2 linked regions of the Drosophila melanogaster genome follow. The protein of the gene in region 1 interacts with the protein of each later gene in a pairwise test. Each region holds a gene or a part of one and is shown on either strand. Other genes may lie near its edges. The genes, in order: Ccp84Af and Jhbp1.

What was found.
Region 2: the proteins of Ccp84Af (region 1) and Jhbp1 interact in a two-hybrid assay, tested with the Drosophila melanogaster proteins (one large-scale study listed by BioGRID).

What each region holds. Positions count from the first base shown.
Region 1 is NT_033777.3:6,688,806-6,692,208, forward strand, and holds Ccp84Af (Ccp84Af), read right to left. Parts: upstream 1,435-3,403; 5' UTR 1,382-1,434; coding exon 1,370-1,381; intron 1,312-1,369; coding exon 868-1,311; 3' UTR 797-867; downstream 1-796. Other genes in the region: Ccp84Ae, read right to left, coding at 2,154-2,768, 2,887-2,898.
Region 2 is NT_033777.3:4,963,543-4,969,103, forward strand, and holds Jhbp1 (juvenile hormone binding protein 1), read left to right. Parts: upstream 1-1,902; 5' UTR 1,903-2,041; coding exon 2,042-2,105; intron 2,106-3,586; coding exon 3,587-3,696; intron 3,697-4,078; coding exon 4,079-4,493; intron 4,494-4,555; coding exon 4,556-4,707; 3' UTR 4,708-4,943; downstream 4,944-5,561.

The sequences.
Region 1 (3,403 bases):
CGCTCCAACGGTAATTAACAATGCCAACTGACTTTGACCTTAACCCTCGCCGTCGGTTGTCCGTCGTCCGTCGTCCGTCGTCCGTCGTCCGTCGTCCGTTGTATGTTGTCCACTGTTTACTGTCCTCTTTGAGGTACCTTGGCATATTTGCACTTGTTCGGGCTGGAAAGTCGGCTGGCTGGTCAGATAAGGAGAATATGTAGTTTGGGTCCCATGATGTCGCGTATATCATTCTCAAGTGGACCCCAATAATCGAGGGACTTGGCGAAAGGTTTCTGGCCACTTCAAAGCTGCAGCATAGTGACCTTAACTGGTTTTCAAGAGCGGACCGCATTACATGCATTAAATTCAATAAGCCTTCGACGCAGATGGTTTTATTGAAATGTTCCGATCGATGCGTTTCTTTCCGATCGGATGTCTACCCCAATTTTCGTTGATTGGTGTAAAATGGGTCGGACGCGAACGCCTGATCAATTTGGGCCCTTAATGACTTATTACCGGCAGAAAATTGATTACAAAGTGCATATGCTGGAGAGGGATTTAAGAGGAGCCAAGGTGATGCAGAGTAAGCAGCTCCAGTGACGTTTTTCGTTGGTACCAGGCGGGCTCCCACTTGATGGTCATCTAAGTTGCTTACTGGGTGCTTTTGTGTAACTTGTAATTCTTAGATTTTTTCAATATTACGAATTTACTTTAACAATACAATATATAAATATATGTATAATATTTTGATTGACTAATGCCTGCTAATGAGCGAGATCCCTTACAAGACGTAAAGAAAAATGCGTTTCGATTTCTTTCAGCTTACAAATATTCAACAATTTATTTGATCTACAAACGGATTCAACAAATCAGTAGGAGAGTTCCTCAGTGGTGCTGGTGGTAGGCCACTGGGATAGGGGCAGCAGCCACGGCCACAGGAGCCACGGTCTTCACCACGGTCTTCACGTGATCCAGGGGAACGCGGTTGACGACGGCGTTGAAACCGTTGACCGGGTCGGAGGTGTACTGGACAATGCGCTTGTAGCCATCGGAATCGATCAGGGAGTACTCGCCATGGACCACGTCGCCATCACGCTCCTCAACCTGACTCTTCGAGTCTCCGGAAAGGGAGTCCTGGACATCGTAGGCGAACTTGTACTGGGGATGGGGATCGTATTCCTCGGTGGCCTTGGTCAGAACCGGCTGGGCGTGGGCAACGGCGACAGGTGCTTGGGCGTAGGTGGCCACGGCGGGGGCGGCGTGATACACCTGCTGGACGGGAAGAACTCCGGCACTGGCGGCCGAGATGAGGGCGAGAACAGCGAAGAACTGTGGGAGAAAAGAGGGGTAATTGAAAGGATCGGATATTCATGTAAGGATTACCCACCTTGAAGGCCATGGCTCTGGACTTGGAGGAGGGCTGGTGGTGGTTATCCGTTAACTGCTGCGAAGACGGTGAAGCTGTGGAATGATTTACTGGAACACGAGCTTTGCTTTTTATACCCACTGAACGTGTGCAAAGCAAAATGCGAATAACGAATTGAAACTGATTAATTCGCTGTTGGGCAAATCATTTTTGTCACTTTTTATTTTATACATTTATTATTGTATTACCGCTATGCTATTTACCTTATTACTTTATCGACTGGAATATGGGCACTTACAACTGCCCACGCCGGGGGCCAGAGATACTTTTATGCAATCCGCATCCAAATCTAGTGCGGCTTAGTGTCTTGGGAGAGACCCTCGGATTTTGGTGCCTATTGCGAATTAAATGCTTTCACCATTCTGCCTTGAGTGGTATATCATGTTACCGGGCAGCTCAAAACGCTTGGAACTGACCTACACTGATTACATACTTTGAATTGAAAAGCACATTAGACGATAATAATAAATATATTTCAATGCACACTTCAAGAATCAAGAATAAGTTAGTCTGCTTAAAAGCAAACTGATGGATTAAATAAGAGTTTTTACGGATACTAGTCAAATCATGGGAACAATTAAGAAAGCTTTGAAATATGCTTGAACTGAATTTCAATTGAGTTGGTAAAAATATAACTTAATTTCTAAGCCCAAATAAAACCACAATTCAAATTAACATATCAAATCACATTTTATTATCATAGAAACAAAACAAGGGTTCAAAATAACAGCGGTCGCATGGGTGTTTACAATTGGGCGACGGTGTACGCAGGGGCGGTGTACCGCAGAGGCGTGGCATAGGCAGCGGTACGCAGAACGGGAGCGGGAGCAGCCACCGCCAGAGGGGCGGAGCGGACGAACGGAGCGGCAACTGCTAGGGGAGCGGACTTGATCAGAGGAGCAGCGACGGCCACTGGAGCGGAGCGCACAATGGGAGCTGGTGCGGCCAAGGCGACAGGGGCGATGGGGGCGACTGGAGCGGCCTTGACCAATGGGGCAGCAACCTTCAGCAACGGCTCGGCGGCCACAACAGCGGCAAGGGGTTCACGGCGGACGACGGCGTTGAATCCGTTAATGGAATCGGCGGTATAGGTCACGGTGCGCTTAAAGCCATCGGCGTCGATCAGGGAGTACTCGCCGCGGACCACGTCACCATCGCGCTCCTCCACATGCCCCTTGTTGTCGCCGGAAAGCGTGTCCTGCACGTCGTAGCTGTAGGTGTACTGAGGATGCGGATCAACCTCCTCCAACTCAACGGTCTTGGCCAAAACTGGCACCGGAGCAGAAGCCACTGCCACTGGAGCAGCAGTTCTAAGGACGGCGCCATGGGCCACGGCGAACAGAGCCAAAGCGATAACAATCTGCGGAATAAATTACACTCTTTTTAGGATTTTTTTTTCCAAGATAAAAAGGCGAAGGCAGTCTGGTAATCCACTAGTAGTCCCCCGGAACGTTTATCCTCCAATTGGTAGCACAAACCTTTGCTGCCATTGTAGTTGGATGAATTTGATTAACTGCTGTCTTGAGCCGAAGCCAAACACTGAATGTCTGACCCATTGTGGGCCGTTTATTTTATACGCTACTTGGTGACATTGATGACACCTAATTGGAATTCATTTTTGGCGCATCACCTCGAGCGGCGCCGGTGGCATGTAAAAATTGTCACGCACCTTCTTCAGTTCTGCCAATTTCGATCGGTCGAAATAACCAGCTGCACTTAATTGATTACGCCAAGCCAATTTTAATTACTATTTTCCTTAAACTTGGAGTCTTCTTATTCAATTTTGTTGTTTTTCTTTTGGAAAGTACAACAAAGTAAGTGTGTATAATTGAACCCATTTTTTATAAAAAGGGAATAAAAGTTCTGATCTTATTTGTTTAAATATTTGCTAGTCAAATTATTAAATACGTTTTGAGTTTGTATCCATAGGTTTGTCTTGGTGAGGTATAATGAATATTTTATGTTGGGATCATAATTTGATTATTATGTATTTAA
Region 2 (5,561 bases), 1.7 Mb from region 1:
GTCGTCCCTTTGCGCTGCTCGGTCGGTTGAATGACACATTTCTGGGTCACAAGGAAGCTGAGGAGCAAGCGAATCTTAATCAAGTGCGAATTGAAAGTGGTTCCGAGTGGAGTCTGGAAGTGTCTGGGATAACTGGTTTGCTGGTGGATTGCGTTGATCTAAGTTCCTGCAAAGTGTGTTTACTATTAATGAGTGGAATTTGCCATAGGTTTTGGTTTTTGACATCTTCTGAGCTCACCCCAACACCTTTCCATATATGCTTAGTCACTTGGATAATTAAGGCATTCGTATGGCCAAGCGAAATACTTAGTGAGGTGGAAATCGCTGAGAACAACAATTCGGAAATAAAACAATAAGACTTTGAATGTATTCTGCTTCCTCCTCTTCGCATTTCACTAAGCGCTGTCATTATTCGCAGCCGTCTTTTGTGAAGACACATTTACACATTGAGATGTATTTATAACCACCTCTACCCGCATTCAGAGCTACATAGACGTGACAACGGGCTTTAGAATCGGCGCAGAGGCCTTTGTATGACAAATAAGACTTCCCATCGAGTTCCCCGATACTTCCCCATTACTCTATTTGTTTGTGTTCAGGGCCATTGTAAACAGTTTAAGAGTTCAGTATGTTCCGATCGCAGGGCAAAGTATGGTGCCATAGTTCTCCGCAAACCTAAGTACCTGGCACACAGAGAAAAAATATGGATGAGTATGATTAGTAAGCTGGTTGCCAACTGTCTGGCTTGTTAACAAATCCCAGTAGGTTGCTCTTCCTGGTGAACTTTCATTTAGAACTCAGTGGATCTATGTTGGAACCCGTTCAGTTGAGTAGCCCATAAATAATTCATATTAGGCGCGAGGAAAGTGATTCGATGAACAACAGGTAATAGTATTTTTAGTTCTCCATCTGAACTGTGCATTTAAATCCACTGCTTATAAGCAAACATTCTACAAGTCTAGGGGAACATTGCAAGCTTAGTCAGTGGGTAGTTGGCTGGGGGGAGGTAAACAACCAATCACTTGGGCTGTGAGTTCAATTTACACACTGAATGATATTAGTCGGCAAACATGAAAGAATGGATAAGAATTCTATAATTAAGAGCTCTGGCTAAAAGAAGTCCGAGTATTGGACATTTTTCTCCCTGATATAGATTTCAAATTGAGGGGTATTACGCTGAACAGGGTATTCCAAGAGTCAGGGCTATCTAATTTCTGTTCTCGCCGTATAAGCACACAACTATTATCTCACTCTAATGGACAATTAAAGCGCCACACACATTTTTAATTAGCGACGGAGACATTTTCACGAAAACAGGTAAACGCGGCTCGCCTCGTTACGGTTTTAAGAAGACTCGAATTCAATGTATCCCAAGGTTATTGGAATAAAAGGAAGCGACTCGCTTGATGCGTTTTATGGCTTAAAAGATAAATAGGTTTGCTCCGCGAATATTTCATTTCGAATGGGTTCTGCTCACGAGCAATTAGAAGTTATCCATTTCTTTCGCAAGCCGCGATCAGGGTTCGCACGGCCGAAGGTTGACCAAATGTGCAGTTTATCTGCACCTCTGCAGGCAGGCGGTTGCGAAAATAGAGTTGCCTAATTGCTTTTATGCCACTCGACAAGTGGGCAAACAAACCAAAATCTTGCACAGAAGCCAAGAAGACAGCTTTACATTCGGTCAGTCAGTCAGTCAGTAGCCCATGCAGATTCCAACTCTATATATACATATCTATATACATATATAGATATATATGTATCTGCCCAGATCGGCAGACTCTAAGTTCTCTGCCGACGTCGACGGCGGGATGGAGATCGGCTTGGTTTGCATCTCGTTTCTGCGATCTGCCATCTGCGATCAGCAGCTTTGGGGCTTTAAAATCGGCTATCGACCGGCAAGCAGCTCGCAGTTTAAGTTCTCAGCTTCGCATCGACGGACGTTCGAGCACTCCACCCGCAGAAAGTTGATAGCTTCAGATTCCGACTTCGTTGCGTGCTGCTGCAGATTGAGATTCATATCCGGAAGTTGTTCTTGAGTGAAATGAATAAAGCGGTGTGCCTAGTAATCGTGATCCAAGCATTGCGGATGGTGCAGGCCGAGACCCGTAAGTTGTCTCTCTTAAGCGGTCGGTGGTGGTGAAGAAAATGATTAGTGAAAAGATTAGTACTGCCAATTAGAATCCGCTGAATAATAGTGCTGCCATGATTGGCCTGTTAATGGAAGGAGACTTTGATCTATTGTTATTAGCTTGAAGATGAATGACTAATAGTCTGAACTAACGAAGTGCAGTAAATACAACAAATTACTGAGCCAGATGATTACAAATTGTTTTGGGAGAATATTTAAAAATGCAAATTGTTGTTGGTGACCTGAAAAACGTAGCTTTTCGGCGTAGTTCGGCGACCCATGGCTCATTGAATAAGCCTCAGATTTTTTACAAATTCTCTGGTTCGATTTGTGTCTTTATATTAACAAGAGTCTCTACTTAAATATACACAGGCGTATATTACTTACCTAATTTATTGCGTATTAAACTGATCGCCAGGATTTTTGTCGAACTCATAAATTGCCAAGAGGGCTTAGTTGTGGGCGCATTCTACTCGTATAAAGTGGAATTAGCACTTTCGTTCGCTTCTCACACTTGCTGTGGAGCGTTTGCGAAATGCCATCACATCTTTTGGAATATGTCAAATGTCAAGTTTACAGCCTTTTCTCTCTTTCTCTCTCCTCCCCCCCCCCCCTCCACCAAAGCACTCGACGGGATGTTAATTGCGTGAGGCGACATGGTTTTGTTAGGCAAATGCAAGAAACAAAACAAAAGGGGGACAAACGGCCGGCATTTCAGCCGATGAGTTTTAGCCGAAGTTTGCTTCCGCATCGCACTCGAAACACGCTGAGCTCACAAATGTAAGCGCTCAAAATGCGGACTGTGAACCAAATCCATACTTAATTAACGACTCGCCGTGGCCGTTGGTCAGCCTTCAACTTGAAATCTTAATCGCTGCCGCTGCAGCTCGCCTTGCCATCGAATGGCGCTAATGAAACTGCCCAGGCACCAAGTCCGCGTTAATGATAAACCAGCTATACATAAATAATAGTCGCTCTGGCCGCGAATGTGTGTCATGTGCCACAGAATTGCGGCCACAACAGGTTCTAGACGTGCACTCCGTGGCAGCCTTGCCATCGAAACTAAGCCGACTCGAGATCTTGATTTTGATCTCGATCGGATTTGGAGGTCACTGCGGCATCGCGATTGCACTGAGCAGAGTCTCTGCAGAGTCGATGAACTTTACAGGAATTGAATCGGCGGATGGTGTTGATCTTCCGTTTTGTTGGCAATTCTGAGTGTTTTCTTCCGGCTGCGCTGAAAAACATTAACAAATCAATGAATATTTGATATTTTTTTATTTGTTTTTATCACCTCCTACCATCTTGTTTGCTAATTTCCAGATTGCTAAAGCCGTGAGAACTAGCAAACCAAATCTATTTGTTTGTTTTTTGGACTCATAAATTAGAACTTTTAGGGGTGACGACTTATGCCCTATGATTATAACCAACTACAAATTTTCGCATTATTTTTTACAGCGCCCTATATTAAACAATGTCATAGGAACGACCCGAAATTGGTGGACTGCTTTATCGGAGCTATTGAACACCTAAAGCCATATTTGGCCAATGGCATTCCTGATATTCAGGTGAGTGACTTTTCTCCTATGAGTGCCAGAGGTGATTTCTTTGAAAACTTGTTTTGAGTTGCGTAAGAGCAGCTCGAATGAAAGTCATTGTGAGTTTCGCACTTGCATAATGAGTGTTTTCGCAGGAAAAATCCGACGTTCACTTTCCGCACAGTGGTGCAACAATGAACACAAAATGAACCCCTTTGAAGGTCATTAGGCAGATTGTCAATTTATTTTCTCCTAAACAAACTTTGTTGTAAGGGTGAATCCCACCGAAAGCCATTACCGAATCACATGATATGATGAATTTATGATAATTGCACACTCAGGTCAAAGCCCAAATTAAAACGTTAAAATGTTTGCAATACGCGTTTAATCCCACTGTCTCGTCCCTTGGCAGCTGCCCTCTGTGGAGCCCTTTAAGATGGACACCCTTGCCCTGCAGTTAACAGAGGGTCCCCAGGGGTATAAGATCACGCTGAAGAACATGGAGGCCTTCGGGGCCAGCAACTTCAAGGTGACATCCCTGAAACTGAGCGAAGGAAGCGAGCCCTTCAAGGCGAAGATCGTGATGCCCAAGCTAAAGATTGAGGCTAAATACACGAGCTCCGGGGTCCTGCTGATCCTGCCCGCCTCCGGAGGTGGGGACTTCCATGCTAACTTCGAGGGTGTGAGTGCCGATCTCACAGGAAAGACATCCATTCACGCCTTCAAGGGCGCTAACTACCTCCACATCGATGCTCTCAGCTTGGTTCTGGATGTGAAGGATGTGAAAATGAGCATCTCAGGTGCCTTCAACAACAATCGAATTCTGCGTAAGTGTCCCCTTAATTCCCTGCCAAAATGTGAGATTTCAATATCGTTTCTTATTTCACAGTGGAGGCCACCAATCTGTTTCTGCGGGAAAACTCTCAAGTCGTTTTGGAGGCTATGCAGGCTCAATTGCAGAAAAAATTGGCTAGCGAGTTCGGCAAACTCGCCAACCAGCTCCTGAAGAATGTTCCTGTAGAGCAATTCTACGTGGACTAGGCCTTAATCCCTTAGATTGTAGTTCGTTAGTCTTATGTATATATATGTATTTAACTCTAAATTACACTCCAATGCTATGAACCAAGTATTAAATTGTACATGTATATGGTGTAAACTCTGCGCATTTGTCTGGGTCAATAATGTCCTAGATTCCGATGATAATAAAACTCATAAGTTTAATCATCAATTATTATTATTTGCATTGCGTAGAGTCGTATTCACCCTGTGAAATCAATAAAAAATTCTTGAATATGTACATATAGAAATTTACGATGGAGAATACTTTTCTTCCATTTTTATCAATTTTACAACGCCGTAACATGGGAAATCTTTGCATATACAAAAATCAACTATCCAGTCGTCATGTCATGTAATAGTACACATGACTCTACCCGTAAATTGGAATATTTGCTCAAGAAAATTGGTTATAATGTGCTGACGGCTATCTAAGGAAGTTCAAATTTGGTTGATATCTTAGTATGCGGATTAGATTTACCATACACTAATTTTAGGGTTTTGTGCTTCAGCTGTATCATCTGCATAGTTAGAAAACATCATTATATACAAAAAAAATTGGAAAAAAGGTCATAGTGTTCTAGTTTTTGATATTGCGAATACGCAATTTGTTAGCTAATACCAAACATATGCCCTTATTTAAATAAAAATATGAAAGGTATAGAAATTCAAACTTGATGTTTAAGGGATCATTCACCCTTTAGGCGGATACAAATTTATTACTTTTGCTATATGCAAAACTAAACTAACTAAATTTTATTATTAATTATTTAATTAAATAAATCAAAAGGCGCATCAGAACAATTTAATTTTATGAATTTTATAATTTTTATCTGTAA